Linked DNA regions of Cricetulus griseus. The protein of the gene in region 5 purifies or fractionates together with the protein of the main gene of each other region. This does not show direct contact. Links are inferred from orthologs where the notes say so. Each region holds a gene or a part of one and is shown on either strand. Other genes may lie near its edges.

Region 1 (3,500 bases), on a different chromosome or scaffold from region 5:
TATCCCTTCTTTCTCTAATTCAAAATAGGCTAGGAAGAGAGAAAGAAAAATTACATTTCCTCCTGAAAGGCCGGCCCCAATTAAAATTCTAAATGTCTCTTACACCAAGAGCACTGGTTTATTGGCAGATGATTAAGCCCTGGACCGATGTCACTCTGTTAGACCCGTATTACAAACGTGGTTTATGTGGTGCGGGGGCAGATCAGTAAAGAGCTGTTAGCAGATGACAGGTTTGATTACCGCTGGCTGCAGGCAAGACGTATGGATCCCCGAGGAACAGCAGCACCGGCTGGTGGGACAGCTTGCTGGAAAGGTCAAAAACAGGCATGTCAGCATCAGGGGACGATGGTAAACAGAAAACACTACAAACTAGCTTTGAGGGGATCAAACTGCTGTGTGGGATGTCTCCAGGTCTCTGCATCTTCTAGTGTGGGGGGATATCAGCAAACACACAGAGGGAAGTCATGGGTGCTGCACTTGCCTTCCAGATATTTCTCTCTGGGATATGAGACAGACACTCATCTATGCTGTAAATATCACTGCTGGAAAGTACATTCTGAAATTGCAATTTGATCGTAAGCAAAGCCGTATTCTTATTACTTGCATGAAGCCAAATGGGGCTCTTAACCCTTTTCATTCCCAATTATAAGCAATTAACCCTGGAAATTCCTGTCAAATATTTATCATCATAAAACCAATATCCAGCAAAGGTTTTCAGGAGAAACATGACTTTAAACAGGTATACCATGGGTAGTTAGACATTAAACAAACTACAGTTCTAGTATTGATTTCTGAAACTGCTCATTGACTGGTGTTAGTTCTTACCTTGACTCTTCAGATTCTGTCTCATCAAAAGATCTGAAATTTTTAATAAAAGAAAAGAAAAAACTAATTAAGTTGGGCCAATATTTATGTCAGCAAAGCAAAACGTTAGTATCCTTAGCACTGGATTGGGAAACAAACAGAAAACTTGAGTTTGTACTGAGCCACAGCATGGCTGACAAGTCATTCTAAGAAATCTTCAGCCTGGAAGACTCTGGGCATTTCAATTTTCCTTAAGATCATTTAAAAATCCCATGGCCTTATTGTTACGGGATAATGCTCTTGTATACTGTAAAGATTTGTCACTCATATTGGTTTAATAAAATGCTGATTGGCCAGTAGCCAGGCAGGAAGTATAGGTGGGGCTACCAGACTAGGAGAATTCTGAGAAGAGGAAGGCAGAGCGTGAGTTGCCAGCCAGATGCAGAGGAAGCAAGATGAGAATGACTCACTGAGTAAAGGTAACAAGCCACATGGCTAAACATAGATAAGGATTGTGGTTAATTTAAGTTGTAAAAGTTTGTTAGTAATAAGCCTAAGCAATAGGCCAAACAGTTTATAATTAATATAAGCCTTTGTATGCTTATCTGGGACTAAATGGCTATGGGAACAGGTGGGACAGAAACTTCCATCTACATCTTATTACTGTTTTGGAGTTAGAATAAAAGTAAGAAGACCTCATTCACTGAAATTTGTTAATGTTGCTGTGTAAAATTCAAGAGCATCTATGAACCTGCCTTCCCAGGAAACACGAATACACAGGACAGAACACACTGGCCTCATAGATCATTGGTGAGTATGGAATGTAATTCAGGCTCTGGAGTGAGTAGCAAGTGGCCTTGAGTCAATAACACTGATAAGGAGCGGTGAAAGGTATCTACTGCCCTGCATTCCGTAGACAGCTCAGGTTTAACCCAGTCTGAGGAATAGGCTGGAAGATGAGGGAAAGTATGGCAAAGCCCTGTGCCCTGCTAGATTTGTGTTGCCTTAAGTCTCTGGGGATTGACTGACTGTGCAGGGGTGCTGCTAACTGCTTTCAGAGACTAGTTCAACCCAGCTTGCTGTAGATTTCAGACTTTAGAAGAACGTTCTCCAGCTGCCAGTATGTTGTACCTCTAGTTTCATGGTTAATAGGGACTAGAGACTACAGCCCATCAGTTATGAGTTCCTGAGGGAGAAGCAGTGGTCAAAGAAAGCAACCCTCCATGGAAGGCCTGGGTTCTGCCACTTGCATGGCTTAGGAAAGGCACTTTGTGGGTCTCTGACCAACAACCAAATGAGGGGTGTTGGATCAATGATCTCTAAAGTCATCTATAGCTTTAGAGACTGGAGAGATGGTTGAATGGTTAAGAACACTTGCTGTTCTTCCAGAGCATCTAAGTTTGGATCTCAGCGCCATGTCAGACAACACACAACTGTCTGTAACTCCAGTTCTGGTGGATCTGATGTCCTCTTCTAGATTCTATAGGTACCCCCTTCCACATACATGGCATACACAGACACAAACATACACATAAATAGAAGTATACCTTTAAAAAGCTATATGAATATGTATACTTGGCACAAGTCAAGGGACTGACCTTGATTACACTCTGGATTCATAATTACCACCCGAGACACTATGTGACACCGTCATTTAAAAGGTTAGTTCCTTATGTCTAGGCATGGGTTTGCCTGGACCATTTGTTGCAGGACAGAGGCAAAGACTTGGGAGGGATTCCTCTCACTATAGGAATATGAGAGAGAGAGAGAGAGAGAGAGAGAGAGAGAGAGAGAGAGAGAGAGAGAGAGAGAGAGAGAGAGAGAGAGATATGCCTCAACTAAGAGCTTAGATGTGGCTAGCTTGCCATGTGGCACCACTCTGGGGTGATTGTAACTTAAAATACACACCCACAATGTAAATAGCAGTTCTTACCCACAACTTTCTGCCTTTGGTAAGGAGGGCAAGTGTCTTACATTGAGGAAATCAAGGAAGAGCTTGGGAAGTTCTTCATTTTCCAAAATGACGGCCTGTGTGAAAGCAGAGAACAAAATTAGAGATGGGAGGGAAGTCTGTTATACCATCAATCAAAGGAACTCTATCAAAAAGTCATAACTGTCCATCAAAGTCATCACATCACCAGCAACATTCCTCATAATTGATATGAGGAGTAGAGGCAGGCTGATGCATACTATACAGCATGAGCACGCCCTGTTCTTTATCCACTCCTTCACAGTACATTTACAGAAATGTCTCCTACCTTCAGATACTCACTAACGGGGAAGACACTGGGGAAGCACTGGACACGCTCCCTGCCTTCACAGAGACTGATCCATCCTGAACAGTCCAATCCCAGGCACATCGGATACACAAATCAAATGTTCCTTGTTGAGTAATAAAGTATTTACGTTTCCATAGCAGGCCACTACTCCTAGGAAATACTGCAGGTTTTCCATCTGGAAGATTTAGTCTAACCCCTTAGTTATCACCTGTTTCTGCACAAGGATCAGTTGACATTTATTGCCATCTGGGCAGCTCCACTTAAAGGGTCAGTGACAACTTTACCGCTAAGTGTAAATCAGGGTATATATTGAAAAAAAATCTATAAAGTTCTTCCACTTAAATAGCTCTGCTAAAGAGCTGGCATAATGGCATAAACATGTCAGCATGCCGAGATCAAAATTATGCAACATGGAGG
Region 2 (3,500 bases), on a different chromosome or scaffold from region 5:
AAGGTTGCTGTCATTAAATGACAAGAAGCCACAGTTACAACAAAATCAAGAGGACATCGGCTACAGTGCACACAAGTGCATACGTGGAAACCATGCTGCTTAGGGCTCACGATGCCCGTGCTTTCTGCTCACTATCACATGATGCAAGCCTGTGGAGCGGTGTGTCTACAAAGTGAACAGTCTTCACCAGGCCAATCTCAGCTTTTAGTCTTGTGGTTTTTCCTACTAGTCTGTACACCTTAACATGAAACATACATATGTATACACTATGTTTTCTACTCTCATTCACATTTTATTCTTAAATTACAAAACTAGCATTTGTACTAGCAAATATGAACAAGACAGCAAAATAAGTAATTATTTTCTCTCCTCAGTTCTGCTTGAAGGTAAACAGCTATTAACTGTTGTTACATTCTAGGCCTTCAAGAAAGGAAAAACTGTTAAATGCTTTATTTTTCTCCTAGTAGTTTCAAAGACATCTTTAAAAGATAACTATTATATACAGCTGACAATCACTCTATGGTACTGCTGATAGGAATATAAATCAAAACAACTGAAAATGTGCCCAGCTATCTAAGCTCTAAATGTGCTTATGTTTAATCCATCATTTTTTTTCTCAAGGATTAATTTCTAGGAAAATAGGATAAATGCCTAAATATGCTTCAAATGTATGTACCGGGCTAGAGATATGGCTCAGCTGTCCACAGAGCTTGCTGCTCTTCTAGAAGACTTGAGTTCACATCCCAGTACCCACACCAGACAGCTCACGATGGTCTATAACTCTAGCTCCCAAGGGTCTGACACCTTCTTCTGGCTTCCATGGCACTCGCATACATGAGTGCAAACACACACTAACAAATTAAAATTTTTATAAAAGCTAATTGACTGCAAAATGTATAATGTACAGTGTACCATTGCTGACCCTTTTGGTCTATCACAATGTGGTATCATTCAGTCAGTTAAATAATAGTAGAATTATGAGATTTTTTTCGTTTTGAAGTAAATCAGAACAGATTTTAGAATTCAACAAAAGTTAACTACCATCCTGAGAAGTCATTTAATTCTCTTACGTCATAGTTTCCTTATTTATAGTAACTATAAAGAGATGTAAGTTACTGATAAATAACAATCATAGTTCCTGTTTTTATTGCTGGTTCCAAGTTAACTGCTGTCAACTTTTTGTTTGTTTTTGTTTTGTTTTTTTCAAGACAGGGTTTCTCTGAGTAGCTGTTCTGGAACTCACTTTATAGACCAGGCTGGCCTAGAACTTGGAAATCTACTTGCCTTCTCCTACCAAGGGCTGGGATTAAAGTTGTGCACTGCCAGCATCCAGTTCACTGACATTTTTAATAGTCAGAAATCAGTCATTCTAAACAAAACAGTTCATACCATATCAGCTATCAAAGGTTTTTTTTTTTTTTTTTTTTTTTTAGAATCAGCAGGCATAAACTCATGTGTTCTGTCTCTGTGAACCCGAGCTTGTCCCTAAAAAAAAAAAAAAAGTCTGCAAAATGTCAAATGGAGGTGGTTTTCATTCAGAATTAAATAAGATAATGTGAATAATTGAAAAGAATGCTCCCTAAGCACTTCAGTATAAAGAATCATTTAAGTATGTTGCTAGATTGGCTCATGCCTGACACAGTGCCATTAATCTAGTTGGCATATATTTGTGATTTGCATATTTTCACATTGACAGATTGTATGCTTTCCACCTGCATATTTGAAATTTGGTTTATGTATAATTGTTTGATGTTGATTTTGAGCTTTTCCCTTATTGTTATAAGAAGAACATAATTATAAAATTGTAATATATTGTTATCCCCTTTTTCATCTTGTTTTTAGGAATGGAACATCACTAAGCTTTCCATTGAGTATGACTCTGAGCCTTTTGGGAAGGAACGAGATGCAGCTATCAAGAAACTGGCCACTGAGGCTGGAGTGGAAGTCATTGTGCGCATTTCACATACACTGTACGACCTGGACAAGTAAGTCTGTGCCTTTATTACAAGAAAATACATGATGACACTTAGCTTACCATCTTAGACATTTTTAACTACACTTTTGGGTGATATTAAGTACATATTTGAGTAAAGTTTTAAATGGAAATAATAGAATCAGAATTGTAGAAGAATTAAGTGGGTATATACCAAGCCCTTGGCATTTTACTTAGCTACATTGATTTTTTTTTCACTCAGTAATAATACCAAAATTGTAGACATAATGCATAAGATAAAAATATTTAGCATTTCTGTTTTAAACTAAGAAATGCTATTTATACATTTTTATTCAACTATTAACTCAACCACTATTGCCTTTCTGAGATGTCAGTATTATTAAATTTATACCTTGTTTGACACATCACTATAATTGACTTTGATATATTTTATGTGATTGTTATGTGTATAATAGTTTGTCCTTTTCTTTAGTTGAGATGAAAACTGAAGTAATATAACTGCCCAGCTAGAGTCATCTGAACATGTTATCATGCCTGTCTGCCAGTGTGTTTATCGAAACACTAGCCAGTCCCTGGGATGCTTTGGCCGGCAAAGATTCTGTGGCCAAATTGAGCTTAGACTAGAAGTAACATGTGCTAAGAGTTTAGGAAGTTCATAAACTGTGTAAGTTTACAGTGACTTCTGTATGAAATTGTCTTTATAAATATGAAAAGATCACAATTTATGGGCCTTTAAATGATTTTACCTTTTAAACAAAACTTAATTCTATAAGTAACATAACTAAATTTACTTCTATTTGCAAGTGGATGGGAAAAAATCATGATTTGATTCAGGCAAATGTCTTACCCTGTTATTAACCTAGAAGTGCTAAGCCCTTTTGGTAATAAGAAGTGTACCAGTTCTCTTAACTTGAATGAGTGATTATAAGGAGGCAAAATAGGATAAGAGAAGTTGCTTCTAAGTGGGAAACTCAGCTATATTGTAAAATTAGTTTTTATTGGGTTGATTGTGAATATATACTCAAGGTTATCATACTTATATGTTATGTATAAAAATGTTTTCCATGAGTTCCAGTTGGCTACTAGATAATTAAGAGACACTTGATAGTGCCATTGTAACATCATTGCATTCATCAAAATTCATTATGTGTAAACCAAAACAAACTTTACTTACAGCAGGAGACTAGATTTCCTGATGGTTTCTTTCTGTAAACGTAGTTGAGAAGAAATATACAAGGTATAAAGAAAAATATATAATGTTTGGGATGAAGAAATACTTGATTAGCAATTTTATCAGTTATATGATCTTGGCTAATTTATTTAACCATCTGTAAATGATAAAGCTGAATTTAACCTGTAATTGTAAGCCAATAGCTGGAGTGAAGAAGTGTAATTAATTATTTTAAAACAGTGTCTAGTCTTACTGTAGACCTTTGGAAGTGCTGCTGGCTGTCCTTTCCCTAGAAGTATGACTACATTGCGGTGTCTAGTGGGCGGCAAGAGCTACATAATGTACTTAAATCTAAAGGACTTTGAATTTGGGGTG
Region 3 (3,500 bases), on a different chromosome or scaffold from region 5:
GACTTCAAGCTCTACTATAGAGCTATAGTAATAAAAAAAGAGCTTGGTGTTGGCATAAAAACAGACAGGTGGACCAATAGAATGGAATCAAAGACCGGTATCAACCCACATACCTATAAACACCTAATTTTTGACAAAGAAGCAAAGAATATAAAATGGAAAAAAGAACATATATTCAACAAATGGTGCTGGTATAACTGGCTGTCAACATGTAGATGAATGCAAATAATCCGTATTTATCGCCATGCACAAAACTCAAGTCCAAATGGATCAAAGACAATATAAATCCATCCATACTGAACCTCATAGAAGAGAAAGTGGGAAATACCCTTGAATGCATAAGTACAGGAGACCCTTCCTAAATAGAACACCAGTAGCACAGATTCTGAAAGCAACAATTAATAAATGGGGGGCTGGAGAGATGGCTCAGTGGTTAAGAACACTGACTGCTCTTCCAGAGGACCAGAGTTCAATTCCCGGAACCACATGGTGGCTCACAACCACCTTGAATGAGATCTGGTGCCCTCTGCTGGCATGCAGGCAGAAGACTGTATACATAATAAATAAATTAAATAAATAAATAAATAAATAAATAAAACAATTAATAAATGGAACCTCCTGAGAGACTTCTGTAAAGCAAAGAACATGGTCAACATGACAAAAAGGCTCCCTACAGAATGGGAAAAGATCTTCACTATCCCCAAATCTGACAGAGGGCTGACCTCCAAAATATACAAAGAACTCAAGAAACTAGAAATCAAACTACCAAGTAAACCAAATAAAAAAAAAAAGGGTACAGATCTAAACAAAGAATTCTCAACAGAACAATCTCAAATGGCAGAAACTTAAGAAAAGGTTCAACATCCTTAGTTTTGGTATCCAAGCATTATACTGACCCCGCCCCCTGACAATGGGCAGGGTATGCACACCGGCATTCAGGCAGATACTTAGATGGCTCAAAGAGACTTGTGTTGCGTGGCTATGCCATGCGTTATGTGGCTGCATAAGGACTCTGTGCGCATGTGCAAGCTTCCCCTTTTAAGTGAGTGCCTCCTAAGCCCTCTATCTCTTCCATCTCTGTCCCATCTTCCATCTCTACCCCTCTCTGTGTTTCCTTTTCCCAATAAACTCCACGTGGGTTTGTTGAGTCTTGTGGTTCATGTTTCATCACCCGCAGCTGCAACTGAAGAAAAATAACAACACTTAGTCAAGGAAATGCAAATCCAAACTACTCTGAAATGCCATCTTACACAGATCAGAATGGCTAAGATCAAAAACACCAATGACAGCTTATGCTGGAGAGGATGTGGACAAAGGGGAACACTCCTCCATTGCTGGTGGGAGTGCAAATTTATACAGCTGCTGTGGAAATCAGTATGGTGATTTCTCAGAAAATTAGGGATCAACCTATCTCAAGACCCTGCAATACCACTGTTGGGCATATACCCAAAGGAGGCACAGTCACACCACAAGGACATTTGCTCAACTATGTTCATAGCAACATGATTTGTAGTAGCCAGATCTTGGAAACAATCTACATACCCCTCAACTGAAGAATGGATAAAGAAAATGTGGCATATTTACACAAATGGATAAAGAAAATGTGGTATATTTACACAATCGAGTACTACTCAGAGGTAAGAAACAATGACATCCTAAAATTCACAGGCAAATGAATGGAAAGAACTAGAAAAAAACATCCCAAGTGAGTTAACCCAAACCCAGAAAGACAAATATAGTATGTACTCACTCATAAGTGGATACCAGATATAAAGCAAAAGATACCCAGCCTATGATCCATAACCGCAGAGAAGCTAGAACCCTCTTCCAGAAACAGATGGAAGCAGATGCAGAAATCCACAACTAACCAACGGGCCAAGTTCCTGGACAAAGTGGGGGAGGAGCCAATAATATGAACAAAGGAGTCAAGACCATGATGGGAAACCCACAGAATGAGCTGACCAGAGCTAGTGAGAGATCACTAACTCAGGTCTGACAAATGGGGAACCTGCTTAAAGCCGAACTAGACTCCCTTAATATAGGTGACAACAGTGTGACTGAGAAAATATATGAGACCAGTGGCAGCAGGTCAAAGATCTAACTCTAAAGCACAAACTGACTTAGTGGAGCCCATTCTATATGGAGCCTCAACTAGATGATGGGACAGACTTAGTAGACGGAGGGGGAAGTGGCAGTAGTGGGAGGAGAGGAGGGAAGAGGAACTGGGATTGGAATGTAAACAATAATAAAAAAAGAAAATAACAACTCAATGTAAAAAAAAAAAAACTCATACACATAACATAAAAAACATTTTTCTTTAAAAGACATACAATTCCAAAGCATAGAAATGTATATAAGTAATATCACAAAATTTACTCTCTATAACAATAAAATGTTATATATACAAAGAGACACAAAACTAGTATGGTATAAAATATTAATCCTTAAGTTATAATTTTCTATTCACTATTTAAGCTAATTAATAAACAAAATAAACTCCACATATTTTATAAGCGAAGACTCACCTAATATTGATTTAAAAACATGCACTTAAAGAAATTCATTTAGTTACAGTTAGTAGCATAGACTTCAGTTTCACAAAATGTATAACCTAAAAATTTTGACTTTACCTAGTTATAATTAGCCGATCCAAATTAATCCTCTGTTGCTTTGCAATCCATGCTGTCCGATACAGCTTTTCAGCTGTCTTCAGCACATCTGCGTTTAGCCTCTGAATGAGCTGTTTCTCAGAGCTCACATACAAGCGCTCCTGTTTGAGGTGGTGGGCCAGAGTGTGAATATCTAGCTTCACCATCTTTGAATTCGGAAAAGGTACAAAGGCTGATCACTAAAAAAAAAAAAAAAAAAGACAAAATCAAAAGTTCATGTCATATAAGTTATTTTCTAAAATCAAAATGAGCAGAATACATTAAAATTTTGATTATGGGGACTAGAGAGATGTCTCAGTGGTTAAAAGCACTGGATGCTCTCCAGAGGACCAGGATTCAATTACCAGCACATGACAGCTCACACCTGTCTATAATTCCAGTTCTGGGGGACCTTACACCCTCATACAAACATACATGCAAACAAAACACCAATGCACATAAAATTAAAATAAATTAAATCATAAAAAAGAATTTGTCAGCCGGGAGGTGATGGCACATGTGTTTAATCCAGCACTTGGGAAGCAGAGGCAGGCGGATCTCTGTGAGTTCAAGACCAGTCTGGTTTACAAGAGCCAGTTCCAGGATAGCCTCCAAAGCCACAGGGAAACCCTGTCTCGAAAAACCAAAAAAAAAAAAAAAAAAAAAAGAATTTGTCTGTAAGTAAGACTTTAATTATATTTAGTACAACCACTGACTTTAATTTAAACATAATCCCAGCATTTGAGAGGTTGAGAAAGGGACACCAGAAGGTCAAAGTCATCCCTTGGCTGCCCACCTAGTGACTCTGAGGCTACATGAGACACCCATCTCAGAAAACCAACAGATTGTGAT
Region 4 (4,186 bases), on a different chromosome or scaffold from region 5:
CCTAGACTGGGTGCTCACACAGCCCAGGTCCTAGGCAGCATTGTAAAAATTTCAGAGTCTTTACCCTGAATATCAGTGCTCATTCTGCATACCAGGCGCCAGGAAAATAATAAGCAGCAACGGTAAAAGCAGAGGGGAAAGGACCTAATACAGGCTTCCCAATGTAACAGAGGCTTCCCTAAATAAGCTCAAAATGCTAATAGGCTCCTTACCATTTATTTTCCTGTGTTGAAAGTACATACTGGAAACAGAAAAAGTCAAGGGTAGCTGGAGACTCTTGCCTTAGGTTAGCCCACCCAATTCTAACATGGAGAAATGAAAGGGAAGAGTACAGCTGATAATTATCATAAGCAATAGACATTTTGTGTGCCTACATGGTAGGGCACACAAAGAGAACGCATTTCCTTGGCAAATGCCCAAAAGATTTAAAAACACAAGAGGAAACTTAAGAAGCCATGCCATTCCTAACACTAATGCAGGTGTCTGTATTGTGGGATTTTTCTCTAAGAAGCAAACACTGCTGCAGATTAATCAATCCCCAATTTTCCTTTAGTACCTGAGCAGTGGCTGGGCTATCAGTCCCCCACAGCACCACCTACTGTTGCTGGGCTGTACCTACAACGGCTCCACTTCTGGAGGACCGACCCCAAGACTTCAAAACATTGAAAAATGAAAAAGATTGTCACTTCAAAGTCAATGGTGGAGATAGAGGGTGAATTGATAACTAACAGATGATCACATAAAATATCTAAGTTGTTAGTACCATGTTTTAGTTGCTGATAATGGCAAGTGGGTAATTTTATTTTTTTTCTCGACTATTTAGCCTACAGATCTTGATCCCAAGGATTTAAAACTAGAGTAATGACATGCTCTGAGGGATACCCACACAGTGAATACATTCATCTTCCATTATCGATAGGCATGGTGGGTGGGTGTTAACTAGCTCCTATGACCCCTTGAGAAGGGGTGGTCTAAAGACTAGGTTCACAGCATGGGGTTTCCTCATGTTTAAGCCCTTTATAGACAACCAGGCCCCTTAGAGACAACCAGTTTCTATTATGAAACCCACTAGGCCATGGCAGGATTCAGACTCATAGACCGACCACTAACAAATCTTCCCTTCCCAGCCAGCTTGTCAGTCTCCTGCGAACAGCCCAATCTCAATTCTGATCTAAAATTAAATCACAGACTCAAAATAGACCACGATTTAAAAGCTCTGGGATGGAAACAAACAAAAGAAACATTTTTTTCTGAACAGCAAAAACACGAATTGAAAATAAAACCAAAAATAAATATAGCTCATATTTCTCTAGTTCTGCTTCCAGGCCCCATGTTAAATAAGGCCTTTGAAGATTTTCGGGTTCAAGAAGTAAAGTCATCCCCAAGTTCAATTCACGATTTTAAGATGAATAATCTAAGAAGTGTCACAGATTAAATGTATTGTGGTAAATCAATAGCATGTTACCATCTACCTACCCTTATTGTTAAATAACTATGCTTAATAAACAGCTCTTTTGAATGACCAGGTCTCAATAACACAAAATGAATACAAATACAAATAACAACACAGTACAGTCACATGACTTAGAATGGTGGATGCTAAATAACTCTTTAACGCTAACAGAGGAAATGAAAATGGAAGTCATATTATTCATACAGAAAAAAATGCTGATTCTGCTATCATACTCCTCTCTGTAAAAATAGACTCCGCAATCCTCACAGCCAGCCATGCACTGTTGTCACAGATGTGCGCCAGATTTACACAGGACATAACTTGGCTGGGGAGGCGGGGGACGCGGAGTTTGCTTGAACCTTAGGCAGGAAAGAATGCCTGTTCTTTCTGGGAGAGGGTGACTGTTAATAAATCCGAATAGCAACTTGAAAGGGTTAAAAAGCTGGGCGTCAGGTGGTTTTATTTCCACTTTGGGAAGTATAAAGCAAAGTTATCTCCTCTTCCTTCTCCACTAGCCAGGATGGAGAGACTTGTCACTGCCATTTACACCACCAGGCTCGGCTCCTGCTCTAACAAAAGGAGGGCAGCGCAGACACCCAGCTTCCCACAGCCTGGCATTGTCGCCAAGTTCTGAGCGCCGCTAGGTGACAGGGGCACAAGTGAGCCAGGACCAATTTTTCCTATTTCCAAGAAAGCAGAGACAACCGAGCTGTGGGAGGACTGGAGAGTGTTTGTGTGTTGGGGGGTGGGGGAGACAAACAAACTTTCAGAGCCCCGGGTTCTGCATTCCCGCAGGAACTGGCAGCACCCTGGCGCGCCCACGGGATGACCTGGGTGGGTGGGGACGCAGTCCAGAGAGGGGCCGGGACGACCGAGTCCTCGCCCACCCTCTCCCCTGCAGCTAGAGCTCCTACCGAGTCTGGGCCTCGCCGCCGGTCCAGGCGCGCAGCCGGGCTCAGGGCGGACAGCGGGGCCGGGCTCCCGGCGTCCAGGCCCGGTCTCGGAGCAGGACCTTGCGCTGCACTCCCCACCCGCCAGCGCCCCTGCTTACCTTAGCCGTTCTCCGGCCCCTGCAAGGCGTCCAGGCCAGGAACCGGGCTCCGGAGACCGCGAGGAGAAGCTTGGGCCCTGCGGGGCACTGCAGGCCGAGATGAAGCAGCCACCGGGTCCTCCCAGCCGGCTCCCAGCCGACCGCGGTGGCCGAACGGGCCCAAATCGCGCGGCAAGGCAGGCTGGGCTGACCGCGGCGGCGTTTGCACCTCCGCACCGAAGGGGCGGGCTCAGGCAGGCTCCGCGGGAGAGCGAGGGTGGGAACTTGGAGCCAGTGGCAGCAGGCAGAGCTAGTGTCCCCGCGCAGCCGGCACGCCCCCAGAGCTCCCCGCCCCCAGCCCACCTTCCCGCTCCACCCCCTCCGCACTCTGCACTCCTCCCCTCTCACCTCCTCCCCGCCCACCTGTCCCCAGGCTCTGCTCCCATCAACCCCACACCCACCACGTGCCCCACTTCCCCATTGCTCCCACCCCTGAGAAGCAACCCTGACATGTGACTCTCCCACCCCAAGACAGTGCAGACCAGGCTGTGCTGGGTACCCAGAACCTGTGTGCAGATGTGTTGAGCCCACCTGATATGCCCTTGTGGAAGATCTTGGCGCCCATTTCCTAACTCCATGTGGTCAGTAAGGTTTTCTCCATGGGCAGGAAGCATCCAGGAAGACTAAGCCCATTCTAATTGAGTTTCGCTAGTAGGAAATTTTAACGTTAAAATCCATGCTTATCAAAATGACCAAGTTTAAAGGAGATCGGAAGTCACAATGTATTTCTCGCAGAAATATTAAGCAAAATTTCTTTGTTTTTAACCTTTAGTACTTTGAAATGTAATGACATTTGTGTGGTTTTCTCCAAAAGACCATTTATACATATTTAAATTATGCAACTCTTAATTCCTTATAGTTCAGAAACTATAAAAGTCCGACTTCTATAATAAATTTCTGGCTATTTGCAGGAGTATTGTGCTAATAAGTGACGTAATGCTAGGCTTTGAGTGGAACTTTGGCATGCAAATGAGCTCCTTGTCAGCAAATTACATTGTCGCCTCCATTTCTACTCCAAACCCAGTGACAGTGGAATGAAGCTATTTTTCATCATTATCATAGCAAATGCAGGCAGTTTCTGGCCAGAGCACAACCCCTCACCACTCCACCACCACCACCACCACCCACCCCCCCACACACACACACTTTTGCTTATTTGCTCCGAGCCTCTTCCCATTGTGTGTGGCTGAGACACAAACCTCCATTTGCAGTTTCCAGGGCAGAGTAAAATATATCTTGTCCCCTGGACATAGAGATGGGAGACAGGAGGCCTTTATCTACTTAAGAAATACCAAGGTCCTTTCTCCTAAATGTGTCATGAAAGCCTGCAGCACCTGTATGTACCCCATCGAAGAACAAAACCTAGCCAGAAGAAAATCCACATACTAACCACTTTAGCCAAGCCCTCTCTTGAAGTATCGGAACACGGGGTCTGAAGATGTGCACAGTGAATTCCTTTCTTGCTCAAAAGTTTTGCCATAGGCTCCCTTTCAAAATGTTGACTTATAAAATTATAAGAGATTACCCTGTGCTTTGGAAGTCAGAAACATAACCAGTGAGTTCTAGTTTTTGTGTTGCCCAAATCAAATTATTTCTCGCTAATGAAGTATGGGCCAAGAAGTCACTTAAAGTCCTGAGTTTTA
Region 5 (4,177 bases):
TCAACATAAGGGTTTCTCTGATGGGGAAGATAGGTGTTGTTCATAAGTTTCTAATTTTTCATTAGAAAAATAGTAAATGAATTCTGTCAGTGAGGTTATTTTTACTAGTGTGGTCAAGTCTGGCTCTGACTCCTGGACTGAGAAGCTGAGCAGTTCCCAACTACCCACCACTCAGGGGCCACTGGTTTGTTTGCCTTCTGGTGTCTTCTGTCTCCAGCCATGCTGTGTAATGCTCCCCCCTGTCGTGACTGCCAGCTATGTACAGGTAGGTACTACAGCACCACCAAAAGGAAGGTGGTGGAGCCAGGAGAGTAGAAGAGCTATGAGCTCCATGTGTTCCTGCAGGGCAATTGCTGGACCGCTTTTCTCGCCCACCAGCCAGGAGTTGCTCTGAGGTGTCACCTGTGCTCCAGACCCCTGTGCACAGAGTGGTGTGGATGCTAGCTGTCCAAATATGAACATTAAATTGATCTGTGGCTCTGTGTTTCTAGCTGGATGGGGTGGGCCGGCCTAGAGAGCCATCTACTTGGGAAGCTGGACCCTAGTTTGGGTGCACCTCCTGTGTGGTGGCTTCTCCAAAGGCCTCCCCAGTGGTCAGAATGGACAGCCAAGTCTTGGGAGCTGGCTATTAGCCTGGACTTCAGAATTCATGTTTGCATTTTCCGGGCAGAATATTCAAATCCAATACAGACCAGAAAAAAAATGTTGACATACATGGTCTCCAGGCAGCTGGCACTGGAGAGAGACCCGGGCCTGGGACACACACTCTACACCCTCAGTGAATTCATCATTTACCTTCTGCCCACCGTGGGTCCTAGGAAGACACTCTTCTTCCATCCTTGATGTGCAAGAAGGTGGCAGGCAGTGGCAGGCCACAACTACACATGTTCTGCAGCCCTCAAAGCCCAGGACTGACTGGTGGCTCCTAGAAAACAGTCTATTTGTGACCCCAGAGCCGTTCCTGGAGCTCCCTCTCTGCCCCGTTCCCCGACCTGCAAAGGGCAGCACTTTAGGGCCTTCCCCAGGCTGTGCAAAATCTTCCCCATCATGTTATTTTGGTCTATTTAGTGGTGTGTTCAGGGGCAGGGTCTCTGCAGCCCCAGTGTGGCCTCGAACTCAATGATCCTCCTGACTCATCATCCCAAGGGCTGGAACTACAAGACGTTCTCTACCACGCACGGTTTAGCTTCCTCAGATTTCTGTTGGACACAAACGGAGAGACCACAGAGACTAGACGTAGTCGTCCTGCGGCAGCGGTGGACAGTGGGACAGAGGAAACCGTTCTGGTTGCGACTGCGCAAGCCGTCAAGTATCCAAACCCCGCCCCCGAGCGCCGTGGCCCCGCCCCTCTGGGTTGCTAGGGGAAGTGACGTCACAGCGCGATGGCGGCGGCTCCTTTAGGCAGCTGAAGGGGGATTTAGGCCCGGAAGATCCGAGTCCATCCGCGGCGGGGAGAGGGTGAGCGGGGCCGGCAGGGGCCGGAGCAGCGGCGGCGGTGCTCGGACTGTCCCATCCGCCCCGTATTGAGGCGCTGAGAGCGACGGGGCAACCAGAAAGCGATGGTGAAAGCGGGGCCGTGAGGGGGGCGGAGCCGGACCGGACCCGCAGTAGCGGCAGCAGCGGCGCCGCCTCCCGGAGCACAGACCCAGGAAGCGGCCGGGCGGGCAGCAGCGAGCCGCACCGCCGCCATGGAGCTGAGGGTCGGGAACAGGTACCGGCTGGGCCGCAAGATCGGCAGCGGCTCCTTCGGAGACATCTATCTCGGTGAGGCCCGGCGCCGTCGAGCAGCCCGGAGCCGTGCGGGCCGGCGGGCGGGGTCCCCGGCAGGCCGAGGCCTGCGTCAGGCCGTAGTGGACACTCGGCCGCTCGGCATCCCCGCACTCCGAGGGCCGGGCTACCGGCCGCGGCCTACATCAACGGCCGCTGGCCGAGCGCGGCCGGGGGCTGGGCGCGGCGGGCTGGGGGGGCGGGGAGGGGCTGGGGCACCGGGGAGGGGGCAGCTGGGCTTTGGGGGCTGCAGGACCGTGGGGGTCGAGATCCGAGCGAGCCCGGGAGTGGCCGGGGCCCCGGGAGACGAAGAGCGGCGTCTGGGGGCGGGCGGGGGGCGGCGGGCTTCGGGAGACGTGGTGGGGTGTCGGAGGGCGTGGGAAAGGACGGCGGGCTCGGGCGGGGGGCCGTGTTGGAGCTCGTCCAGGGGGCAGCGGGGCGGGGGAGGCGGCGGGCTGGGGGTGGGGCCCTAAGGGGGCAGGGCCCGGGCTGCGGGGCCCCAGAGGCGTCAGCATCCTCCCCCACCTAAGGTCACCGCAGTAAACAAAGGCCACGCTCTGCTCCTCGCTCGCTCGGAGGGTCTGGTACTTACTGCCCCTCGCCCCTGCGGGGTGATCCTGGGTGTTTTGATGTGTGTGTGGGGGGGAGAAACGTCAAAACAATCCGAATGGAGCGTGGAGGTGGGGAGTGTCCCAGCCCGAAATGGGGAAATGACGGGCTGGCTTCTAAGGGTTCTTGTGGCTGTCTGAGCCTGCCCTTTTCCACAACGCTGTTTCCAGTTTAGCTGACCTGCCGAACGGATCGTCCACCTTACGCCAAAACAGGACTGAAGATGTCCCCTTTGAGCTCGGTCAGCTCCTGGCCCTTTGGCCGTGGGTCCTCAGTATATGTTGAGCATCTTAAGTTGACTACTGGACACTCGGATGTCAGTGGGGATGAAGCTTTGATTAATGCTGGCACAATCTTGTCCATGTGGAGAGGTTGGCAGAGCAGAGCAGAGGGAAGTGGTGTGAAAGTTCTCATCCCTTGACTCTCAGAATTCACAAGGTAGACTTGAAAATCCAGACTTAGGATTCGACTGCCCTGGGTTAGCTCAAACTTAACAGTGAAGACTGTGTGTGTGTGTGTGTGTGTGTGTGTGTGTGTGTGTGTGTGTGTGTGTGTGTGTGTGTGTGTGTGTGTGTTTGTGTGTGTGTGTGTGCGCATGTATGTAATTACAGGCTTGCTTAAACCCACTTGTTGGGAATTTTAAAATGAACATTTTTACCCCCGTGTCTCCTAGTGGAATTGTAAGTCATTCCAAAACCCCTGAACTTCTGGTGATGAGCATCCTGAAGATGGTTGCCTGTTAGAGGCAAACATGCTCTGCTGAGTAGCCCGGTCTTCTGCGTTTGTGTGGCAGTTGTACCTGTAGTGCAGAGTCAGGAAGAAGCAGTGCTTTGGGCCTTGCCTTTCAGGCTACCCAAGTTCAAGACCTTCCTACTGTGACTCCTAGGACCTTGACAGCTGGCAGTGTGGGGTGGACAACTGGCCTGTGTGGGTAGTTCATAGGTATTTATGGTCCCTGGTTAGCGTGTAAGGTAACCCTGCTCTGTGCCACCACACGAGTGCTTTGAACCTGTACTTCTTGCCATAGTGGCCTGATGAGTAAATATGTTTTAGAGATACTTGGGGTTTGCTTATTTAAATATTTATGATCAAGTAGTCAGCCAGATGCCTTCTCGGCAGTGTTTGGGAGTCAGAGTGCTGGGTAAATGGGAGATGTTTGGCTTATTTATAGAACAATAGATCTTGGCAGGATATAGGAGCTATACTGAAAAGGCAATCCATTAGCCACCCTTTCATGGGCACCAGAAAATAGGTATTCTGAAACTTTTTGTTCCCTGAGATTTTGCCAAGCAGTTTTGTACTTTGTGAAGATTGATCCTAACAACCAAATTGTGATGTGGAGTCACATGCCATTCAGAGAGGTAAACTCTTCTCTGGGAAGGGTGCAGGCTCTGTCTGGGGATGCAGCTTACTCAGTCACATCTTTTCAGACCTGCCTGGTTCCTGCAGCCTCATGTCCCAACCAGAGCAGTGGGACTTGAGGGAAGGGCTGAGAGGCTGCCTTGAACCAGTGCATACACATCCTGCCCAGGATCTTCTACAGGCATGTGGGTGGTGGCCCATCTGATCATGTGAGGTAACTTTTTCCAGGAGTTCCATTTTGATGACTTTTGATGTGAGGTGGATTGCTGGGATCCTAGGGGTCAGAGTCCCTGGCTTACCTGTCTATCATGGTGTGTGGGGTTTTCGGTTGTTGTGTTTTGTTTTAAGACAGGATCTCACCATGCAGCCCTGGCTGGCCTTAGACTCAGAGATCTGCCTGCCTCTGCTGTGTGCCACTGTGCTGGGGCCCGGTTGTGCC
Region 6 (4,297 bases), on a different chromosome or scaffold from region 5:
AGCCTGGACCTCTAGAGCTGGGGTGGGGAGTGGGCACAGGACTCAGAAAGGCACAGTGTTAGAGCCCCTGGAGGTAAGAAAGGGGCCAGGAGGAGATCGGAGGGGCAGATGACTAAAAACAATATTGAAGCTGGCCAGTGGTGGCACACGCCTTTAATCCCAGCACATGGAAAGCAGAGGCAGGGGGATCTCTGAGTTTGAGGCCAGCCTGGTTTGTAGAGTGAGTTCCAGGGCAGCCAAGGTAACACAGAGGAACTCTGTCTCTTGAAAACAGCAACAATATTGAAAAAGAGAAGGGCTTGAATCCAAGTTGGGAATCTTCGTAAGTGGTTGTCCACTCACTGTTCATCAAACCCGCCTCACACTTTCCCCTTCAGATCACCTCTCCGTAGCACTTCCCGGCTGAAAGGTTACAACTAGATTGGGCTAGCTTCTGTAGATCATGAGAAAGTGGACTCTCCTGTTCCCTGTGCCTGCCCCCCCCACCCCCGTAGCCTTTATCACCCCTTCACTCAACTTACAATTCATTGTGCTACAGATGTGAACATCTTCCAGGCTATCTCTTGGGCTCTGCACCCAAACCTGCCTGTAGTTTGTGCCTGCTGCGAGGGTACCCACCCAGACCTAGATGCAGCCCTGCATCTGAGCCCAGGCAGTGCCAGATTCCCTGGAGCTGGCAGCCGATGGTGACTCCACACCACGCTGGGGTGAAGTCCTAGTTGCCCAAATTAGCCCCAGCTGCGTCTGAGGCCAGTCTTCCTCCTGGAATGAGGATAATGGGTACCAGCACTGCGTGCTGCCTCTGTGATCTCAAGCCCCGAGCACCAAGCTGCAGTAAATAGTGGGCAGGGCAGGTGGACTGGACAAGAAGCTGTCCAGGATACTTGGAGAGGGGACTGTTCCTCAGTTTTGTTGTCTGTCAACTGTGCACTCAGCTCTCACCCCACACCTTACTATGCATGCTTTCCTGGACAGCTCCTGTAGCTACTCGTCCTGGTCCCCTGACACCACCATCCCCAAACAAGCTCCCTCCCCCCACCTCCCTCAATGGCCTCTGCCTGCCAAGCACTGTGTGGTCTGGGCAGAATTGCTGTCCTTCATCCGGGCAACATTCTGTGTAGTGGGCACAAGCCCCTCCAGGCATACAGGCCCACAGAGGTTCTGTAGCCAACTTGGCCTCCCAGCCCTCACGCATCTATAAGATACTTGAGTGTCTGTTGTACCATCAGACTGCCCAAGCCCCTACCCATAGCCCTCTAGGCCTTACCTGGCCTTGGGTTTGCAGTGCCTCGAGGCCCTCACTCCGGAGCTGCTCCAGGGCCACAGCCAGCTGCAGCCCCTCCATGTGCACCCAGGCCTGCTCCTCCTGCAGCTGCTGCAGCCACAGCTGCTCCTCCTGCAGCTGCTGCAGCCACAGCTGCTCCTCCTGCCAGAGCTGCATCTGCAGCTGGACCTGCCGCCTCCGATCCTCAAGCAGCAGTTGCTCCTGGGCTAGGCACAGCTGGACTTCGTGGAGTCTCAGCAGTTCAGGGCCCAGGGCTGGCATGGGGGCCCTGGCTCCACAGCCCTCCATGTGCTCAGGAGCCAGCACTAGCTCGGATTCCACAGTGGTGGCCTGAACTGGCCTCCAGGATGCTTGTAGCTGCTCTGGCCTGGTGGCCCTAGAGTGTCCCTGAGGAGCCGGCTGAGTGCTGGTCACGTGGCCCGTGAGGGCCACCCCCAACTGATCCTGAGGGCCCCCTGTATTGGGGGGCGGAGGCTCAGCCTCAGGGCACTTCTGCCCAGCTGCCCGCTGGGCCCTGCCCACCCTCTTGCCTCGGGGCTTCCGAGCTCGACCTCGTTTCCCAGACATGGCCCAGGATCCAGTGGTCTTTCACCAGATGTCTGCTCCCCAGGGAACCGTCTCATCCACTGGCCTTGCTGGGGAGCTCAGAGGGCATCCCAGAGGCTGCAGTAGGCTGCTTGCTCTCAGCCAGGCTCAGCCCTCTGTTCCTCTGTCCCAAGTGGCTGCTCTACCCCTTGCCCTGTTGCCCACAGCACAGCACAGGACCCTGGCTCTGTCTATAGGTCCCACAGGCCGCACTCTGTGGCGCTGGGCCACACCAGGGAGTTTATAGGGACTTTGGCGGCACAGTGGCTCACCCTAACCGAGGAGGCTGACTAACGTGCTGACACAGGGTGCGGGACTTCACAGACCACAGACTTCACTGGCCAGACTGGGAGGGAGGCTAAGAAACTGGGGGCGGCTCTCTGTAGCTAGGCAGTTGCTTGAGGACGTGCCTGGTCCTGCCTGGACTCACCAAGGCCCCCCACCCTTCACCCCACCCTCGGTCGCGGGAAACTCAAACTGTCCGCAGAGCTAAGAGCTACATCTCAAATGCACCAGCCCTGAATGCTCAGACCCTCACTGACCATAGACCATCCCAAACCAACTGACCACTGGAACTCGAAGCCTATGCAGATGCGCCCTGCTGGGCTTGAGCTTGCCTGGGGAGCTTGCTAGAGATAATGGCTACCTTAGCCCCAGTGGGAAGCACTTGGGCCACACTGTGGCCTGGTAAAGACATTGAGCCTTCAAAAGCCTAGAAAGAAAAGTCTAGCTTGTCTCCTAGTATGGGTGTGGGGCCTGCCTACTGCCATGATTGGGAATCCAGCTCCCCCTTTGAATTAAAACAAGGCCCAAGGGACCCTTCCAAGGCCCACCTGTTAGTCCCAGGGGTGCAGCTGGGGGTCCAGGACCAACTCTCATCTGAGCCTTCCTTCCCAGGCCTCCTGTTTCGAGGCGTCGCTCCAGGTGACATCCTCCCCAGTGGTTCCCCAGCCCCAGCCCGCTGACTCACACCCACGCCCAGGGCCTCATCCCTGCCAGCTCTGCTTCACTGGTCAGACTGGTTTGCCTGGCCCAGCCCTGCCCAGCACACACCCCTATCCATCCTGCCCTTGCCCAGGAACCTCAAGAGCAGACAGAGAGCACCAGTCTGGAGCAGAGCTGGGCAGAGCAGAGCTTTGCTGAAGGGCGTGGAGAATGGCAGAAGCATTGTTTGGGTGGGAGACAGCAGTCGGGACAATGAGGGGCACACTTTTTAGGGACTTCCATATGCCCAGACCTGGAGTTTCATTTCCAGGTATAGGGGTAGGTGTGTCTGTTGGTTCTTAGTATTACTAGGCTAAGATGTATTTGCTCTTGGAAGACGCTGCTCATTAAAGTTGTGGCATGTGCTGGCCTCATGAGGCCTTCCCTAAGAGCCTAGGAATAAGCCTAGCTGGTGTCCCATAAATGCCACCTGAAGTTGATGGGGCGAGGGCCAACTCACATCCCAACACTTCTGCTACCTTCCTTCAGGGAAGCCGAAAGATCACCAGCTGCAGACGAAGACAGGCCAGCCGGCCAAAGAGTCCTACTCTGAGAACCCCGAGGTTCCTGCAGGTGAGATCCTGGGTGTTCTACCTCTGCTAAGGGGTGGGCTGGCAGTAAGGGACTTCCCTGGGCCCAGACAAGCATAGCATGCACAAGTGTTTGTCTATATATGCACACGTGTATGCATGAATGTGCAGGGGAATGTATGCATTCATGGATGCATGTGTGTACACATATAGTCTATGAAGTAGGCCAGAAGCACACAGAAGCCCCCTTTCTATACTGTGCTAGCCCATGGCTCAGGGCTGCCTCCCAAAGGAGCATGAGTCTCCTGTGATGAGCTGGTCGCCCTCTGGCGGCAGTAAAATGAAAAATGATCCAGCCATGGGCAGCACTTGGGGAGTCCCACCACGAGTCTGGAGTCCTGTGCCTGCTTCCTGGGCTCCAGTGCCTATGGACAGGACCAGATCTGTCCAGCCTGCTTGCCTCCTGGCTCTGGCCTCAGCTCTAAACGGTATTCCCAAAGTTCCCAACCTAACAATTAGGTTAAGAGTTCACTGCCAGCGCCTCAGCCCCACTTCAGGTATCCTCCAACTTCCCCTTTGGGTGTCTTGAAGCCAGCACATCTAGCCTAAGTTTCTCTAAGCTCACTCCAGTGTCCCTACATACACAATGCTCCCCAGTGGCTGATGTCTGAACCCCTCGCAGCCAACCCCATTGTTCAATACTTTCCCTGACCAGTTTCTAGGTCTCACAGAGCCTCAGATGCTTGCTCTCTTCTGGCCACTGCCTTGCCTTGCCCTTTGCCTCTACCTCCCAAAGTTCTCAGAGCAGCCATAAGGTGTGCAATACTGGGAGATGCAGCATCTGTGTTGCTTGTGAACAGCCCTGTCACTCCTGTCAACCTTTTCCATTCCCATTCTTGGGTCCTGGGATAAG
Region 7 (3,500 bases), on a different chromosome or scaffold from region 5:
CCACTTATTAGCTGATGAAACTTCCAGCAGCTATAAACAGACACGTTGTTGTGTGGACATGTCTTTCATTCCTCTTGGGTAGTTACCTAGGAATGGAACTGCAAGGTCACGGGTTATGTTCACTTTCTGTGAGATTTCAGCTTCCTCACTTGTCAGTGGGGAGCCTACCATCACTACCACCACCACACAGTACATCATGGGTAATTGCTGACAGAGGGGAAACTGGAAATGGTGTCCCACAAACCTTTTCCTGCTCAGGATGAACTTTCAGATCCATGCACATGTCCAAAAAGTGGGAGAGCAGAGCCTGGTCCAGAAGGATGTACACAGCCACCCCCCGTTTCCTACAGATCTCCTGTAGGTCTCGGAAGATGTCAATGTCAGAGAAAACGTCCATTACCACAGCAATCACCTATGAGATAAGGCAGAAGGAAAAGTAAGGAACTCTAAATACCATCCTCATAGACACTCCCTTCTTCAGCACTACAAATCTCCCCCTCACTATTGGCTCTTTTGCACCCTAAAGACATCCAGGCACCCACATCTTACATGTCTTAGCTTAGCCCAGCTAACTAGTGCTCCCCAATGTCCCTCAGCCAACCTATTCCACACTGGCAAACTTCTCATTTAGCTTCTGCACCATCACTAAACCCCACCTCCAGGTTCACTTTGGACTAGCAAGCTGTCTAGGCCAACACATTGGAATTCAAATCACACTGCTTTCCCAGTCAGACTTCAGTTTTCTATGTCTGTATGGCTGATAAATCTTGGGGCTGGCAAGATGGTTCAGCTAGCAAAGACACTGCTACCAAGCTAGATGACCTGTATTCAATTCCCAGAACTTACATGTGGAAGGAGAAAACCAACTCCTGCAACCTGTCCTCTGATCTCCATATGTACGCCATACCAGTAACATGTGTAACCACGCACAAGTAAGTGCAAAGAAAAAAAACACCTCAGATTCTCTATGAAGCTCTTTTTTGCTATTAGTATTCAAGTCAACAGTTTTTTGCCTATTGTCTGATTTTGGATCATAGTCTCTGAGCATTTTTAATCTTGTTTTAGAAAGATTGTATCCATTACCAATTCACTGTTCCCGATTCCACAAACCCCCATCAGTCAGGATAAGAACTGAAATACTTCCTGAAGATTCTGACCTTTGGTTCAGCTCTGCTCTTTCTTCTCCCCAGCCATGTGTACCCCTTGATAAGAACTGATTTTCCACACCCAGGCCAGACCACAGCTAAGAGCCAATGCTCACCCATGTGTCCATGGACAGAGTATCACTGTTTAGAATGTCTGCTAGGCTACAAAACAGGCCTGCTGTAAAACCCAAACTGCACAAGTGCAGGGTCCAAAAGACCCTTGGTGTCTGCTCAACCACCCATGTTACCAGTATGGGCTGCAGCTACCTGGGCAGCCCCTCACAAGGAAGATACAGGTGGCCCCTAGTCTCCCTTCCTCATTTACAGAGGCTGTTACAGCTAGCTACAGAGTCTCACATCACCTACTTCACCGGCCTGCAGAAACTGCTGGCAGAGAGGCAGGGCTGTAAAAACACCCAGGCTTAAACAAGTCCCTACAAAGCGAGTCAGGAAGCCAGCATTTGGGAGCTGTTTTGCAATTGGGAGTGGTCAGGGCTTCTCCATCTCTCAGCTTCAACAGTAAAAATCCCTGTCTCCGAATCGCATTAACCCCTTGGCTGAGCATTCCCATTACTTTTCAGCCTCACTATTCCTTCCTTGTACTGCAGCAGAGGCCTCAAATGGGATGCATTTATCTTCATGGTAGAAATCGCAGGACAGTAAGTAACTAGCCAGCTTTGCTCCTTAAGCATTTGTACGGTTAAAAAGAAACACAGAAGCCAGGAATGGGGGGTGCAAGCTTATAATCCCAGCACTCAGGATGCTGAGATCAGCCTGGATAGAGTGAAAGTCTATCTTAAGAAAAAAAAAAACTAAGAGAAAGAAATGAAGAGGCAAAGGGTCAATGTTGCCACCTTTCTAACTCTAGGGTTCCATCTGCTCAGATGAGTGGCCTTGAAATGCCAGCTCCCAGAAGCAAGAGCCACCTGGGATGATCAGTGTCTCTCTGGCTGGCCCTATACCACTCCCTGCCTGACCTTCATAAAACCTCCTCAACAATGAATAAAACAAAACAAGAAGCATTTTAGAATCAGTGGCATCTTCAGAAGCTTATTGGCTCTGATGGCTTTCACATGTTTTAGAGTGTGTTCACCCCGTCCACTTGGGATCTGTAACAGGGTTTAAGGCAAAAGCCAGGACACAGAGCTCAGCATGGCCCCTTGGCGCTTAATCTCTCTCAACCTTAGTTTCCTTCCCCTTGGAAAGGTTTGGATAACAGCACAGCGTGGCAGGACTGCAGTGATGGTTAAGGGAGGGAAGTGTGGAATGAACGGGCTTATCAGTTCCGAGTCTACCCGGTACAGAGATGGCTACAGAGCTGACAGAACGTGAGGTGAGGAAAGCAAAATGATGTCTACACATTCTGTAGGGAGCAGCATGTCAGCTTCCTTGTGAAGACAGGCACCTATAGACACACAGAAGAGGGAGGCTTCCTGGGAGAAGTGACATCGGAGCTGAACCACAGACAAGAATAAGGTTAGGATAAGCCTGACCTGGCTGCACAGATCTGTAATCTCAGCTCCTTGGGAAGTTGAAGCAGGAAGATCCCAAGTTCAAGGCCAGCTTGGGTTACACACTGAATTCAAGGCCCAACTGGGACAAGAGGCTACTGGAGAAATGAAGGGCTCTCTGCCAGGAAACCATGTGATGACAGAAGAGGCTAGGAAGGATGTGTGCATACCAGTGTGGCTGGAACGTACAGTATGCAGGAAAGGGAGCCACGGGATGTGACTAGCAAAGAGGGATGTATAAGGTAGTAGAAGGCTATGGAATCCATGTCAGTAGCCTGCATAGGAAGAGTATATAGAGCGATGAATCCAGATGCTGGGAAAGATGCTGCTGCAGATGAGAGACCTGAACCTACTTCCTCTAACTCAGGACCAGGAACCCAGTGAGGGATGGGGAATCTTTGGGGCTAACAAGTTTCTGCAGCTATTTGGAGGACTAAGGACTGAAAGAAGAAAAGTCCCAGCCAGAAGCTATGAGGCTACGGGGGACAGGAAGAAGCCATGGGAGAGCCCAGCAATGGGCACGGGGTCACAGAAATACATACAAGCTGAGAGAACTTCGAACCTGACTCAGAGATAGCAGCAAAACTTTCAGAATGTGCTTGAATCCAAGGTGCAAGAATTGGAACAGAACTCCTGGAGAAAACTATGAAGACCTGCTAGCCTCTCTGATGGTCAGTGGAGCCCCTGTGAGCTATATACAGCTAGGTGATGGATTAGTCCCCATGCTGAGAAACAGTCAAATGGGAAAAGAGAACCCAGATGATGCAGAGTGATGGTAATGAAAATGCCCTAGAGGCTACTGAAACAGGCACTAGGAACCCAGCCCAGTTGGCAGGGCTGGAGA

What was found.
Region 1: the proteins of Csnk1d (region 5) and Snx24 purify together in Homo sapiens (affinity purification with mass spectrometry; 3 studies listed by BioGRID and IntAct, counting the BioPlex papers as one, with this or other methods). This does not show direct contact. The link is inferred for Cricetulus griseus from reciprocal best matches to the Homo sapiens genes CSNK1D and SNX24.
Region 2: the proteins of Csnk1d (region 5) and Cry1 purify together in Homo sapiens (affinity purification with mass spectrometry; 3 studies listed by BioGRID and IntAct, counting the BioPlex papers as one, with this or other methods). This does not show direct contact. The link is inferred for Cricetulus griseus from reciprocal best matches to the Homo sapiens genes CSNK1D and CRY1.
Region 3: the proteins of Csnk1d (region 5) and Gapvd1 purify together in Homo sapiens (affinity purification with mass spectrometry; 5 studies listed by BioGRID and IntAct, counting the BioPlex papers as one, with this or other methods). This does not show direct contact. The link is inferred for Cricetulus griseus from reciprocal best matches to the Homo sapiens genes CSNK1D and GAPVD1.
Region 4: the proteins of Csnk1d (region 5) and Fam110b purify together in Homo sapiens (affinity purification with mass spectrometry; 3 studies listed by BioGRID and IntAct, counting the BioPlex papers as one, with this or other methods). This does not show direct contact. The link is inferred for Cricetulus griseus from reciprocal best matches to the Homo sapiens genes CSNK1D and FAM110B.
Region 6: the proteins of Csnk1d (region 5) and Fam83h purify together in Homo sapiens (co-immunoprecipitation; 5 studies listed by BioGRID and IntAct, counting the BioPlex papers as one, with this or other methods). This does not show direct contact. The link is inferred for Cricetulus griseus from reciprocal best matches to the Homo sapiens genes CSNK1D and FAM83H.
Region 7: the proteins of Csnk1d (region 5) and Fam83d purify together in Homo sapiens (affinity purification with mass spectrometry; 4 studies listed by BioGRID and IntAct, counting the BioPlex papers as one, with this or other methods). This does not show direct contact. The link is inferred for Cricetulus griseus from reciprocal best matches to the Homo sapiens genes CSNK1D and FAM83D.

The regions. Positions count from the first base shown.
Region 1 is NC_048595.1:185,287,508-185,291,007, forward strand, and holds part of Snx24 (sorting nexin-24), read right to left. Parts: intron 2,833-3,500; coding exon 2,738-2,832; intron 859-2,737; coding exon 826-858; intron 306-825; coding exon 241-305; exon of another isoform or gene 104-240; intron 30-103; coding exon 1-29. UniProt on the Homo sapiens protein: May be involved in several stages of intracellular trafficking.
Region 2 is NW_023276806.1:150,294,645-150,298,144, forward strand, and holds part of Cry1 (cryptochrome-1), read left to right. Parts: intron 1-1,842; coding exon 1,843-1,985; intron 1,986-3,500.
Region 3 is NC_048599.1:146,454,088-146,457,587, forward strand, and holds part of Gapvd1 (GTPase-activating protein and VPS9 domain-containing protein 1), read right to left. Parts: intron 2,849-3,500; 5' UTR 2,816-2,848; coding exon 2,631-2,815; intron 1-2,630. UniProt on the Homo sapiens protein: Acts both as a GTPase-activating protein (GAP) and a guanine nucleotide exchange factor (GEF), and participates in various processes such as endocytosis, insulin receptor internalization or LC2A4/GLUT4 trafficking.
Region 4 is NC_048595.1:154,718,491-154,722,676, forward strand, and holds the start of Fam110b (protein FAM110B), read right to left. Parts: upstream 2,801-4,186; 5' UTR 2,505-2,800; intron 1-2,504. UniProt on the Homo sapiens protein: May be involved in tumor progression.
Region 5 is NC_048600.1:133,470,347-133,474,523, reverse strand, and holds the start of Csnk1d (casein kinase I), read left to right. Parts: upstream 1-1,377; 5' UTR 1,378-1,688; coding exon 1,689-1,764; intron 1,765-4,177. UniProt on the Homo sapiens protein: Essential serine/threonine-protein kinase that regulates diverse cellular growth and survival processes including Wnt signaling, DNA repair and circadian rhythms. It can phosphorylate a large number of proteins.
Region 6 is NC_048595.1:373,308,700-373,312,996, forward strand, and holds the start of Fam83h (protein FAM83H), read right to left. Parts: upstream 2,801-4,297; 5' UTR 2,704-2,800; intron 1-2,703. Other genes in the region: Iqank1 (putative IQ motif and ankyrin repeat domain-containing protein LOC642574 homolog), read left to right, coding at 3,344-3,427. UniProt on the Homo sapiens protein: May play a major role in the structural organization and calcification of developing enamel. May play a role in keratin cytoskeleton disassembly by recruiting CSNK1A1 to keratin filaments. Thereby, it may regulate epithelial cell migration.
Region 7 is NC_048599.1:20,711,899-20,715,398, forward strand, and holds part of Fam83d (protein FAM83D), read right to left. Parts: intron 413-3,500; coding exon 245-412; intron 1-244.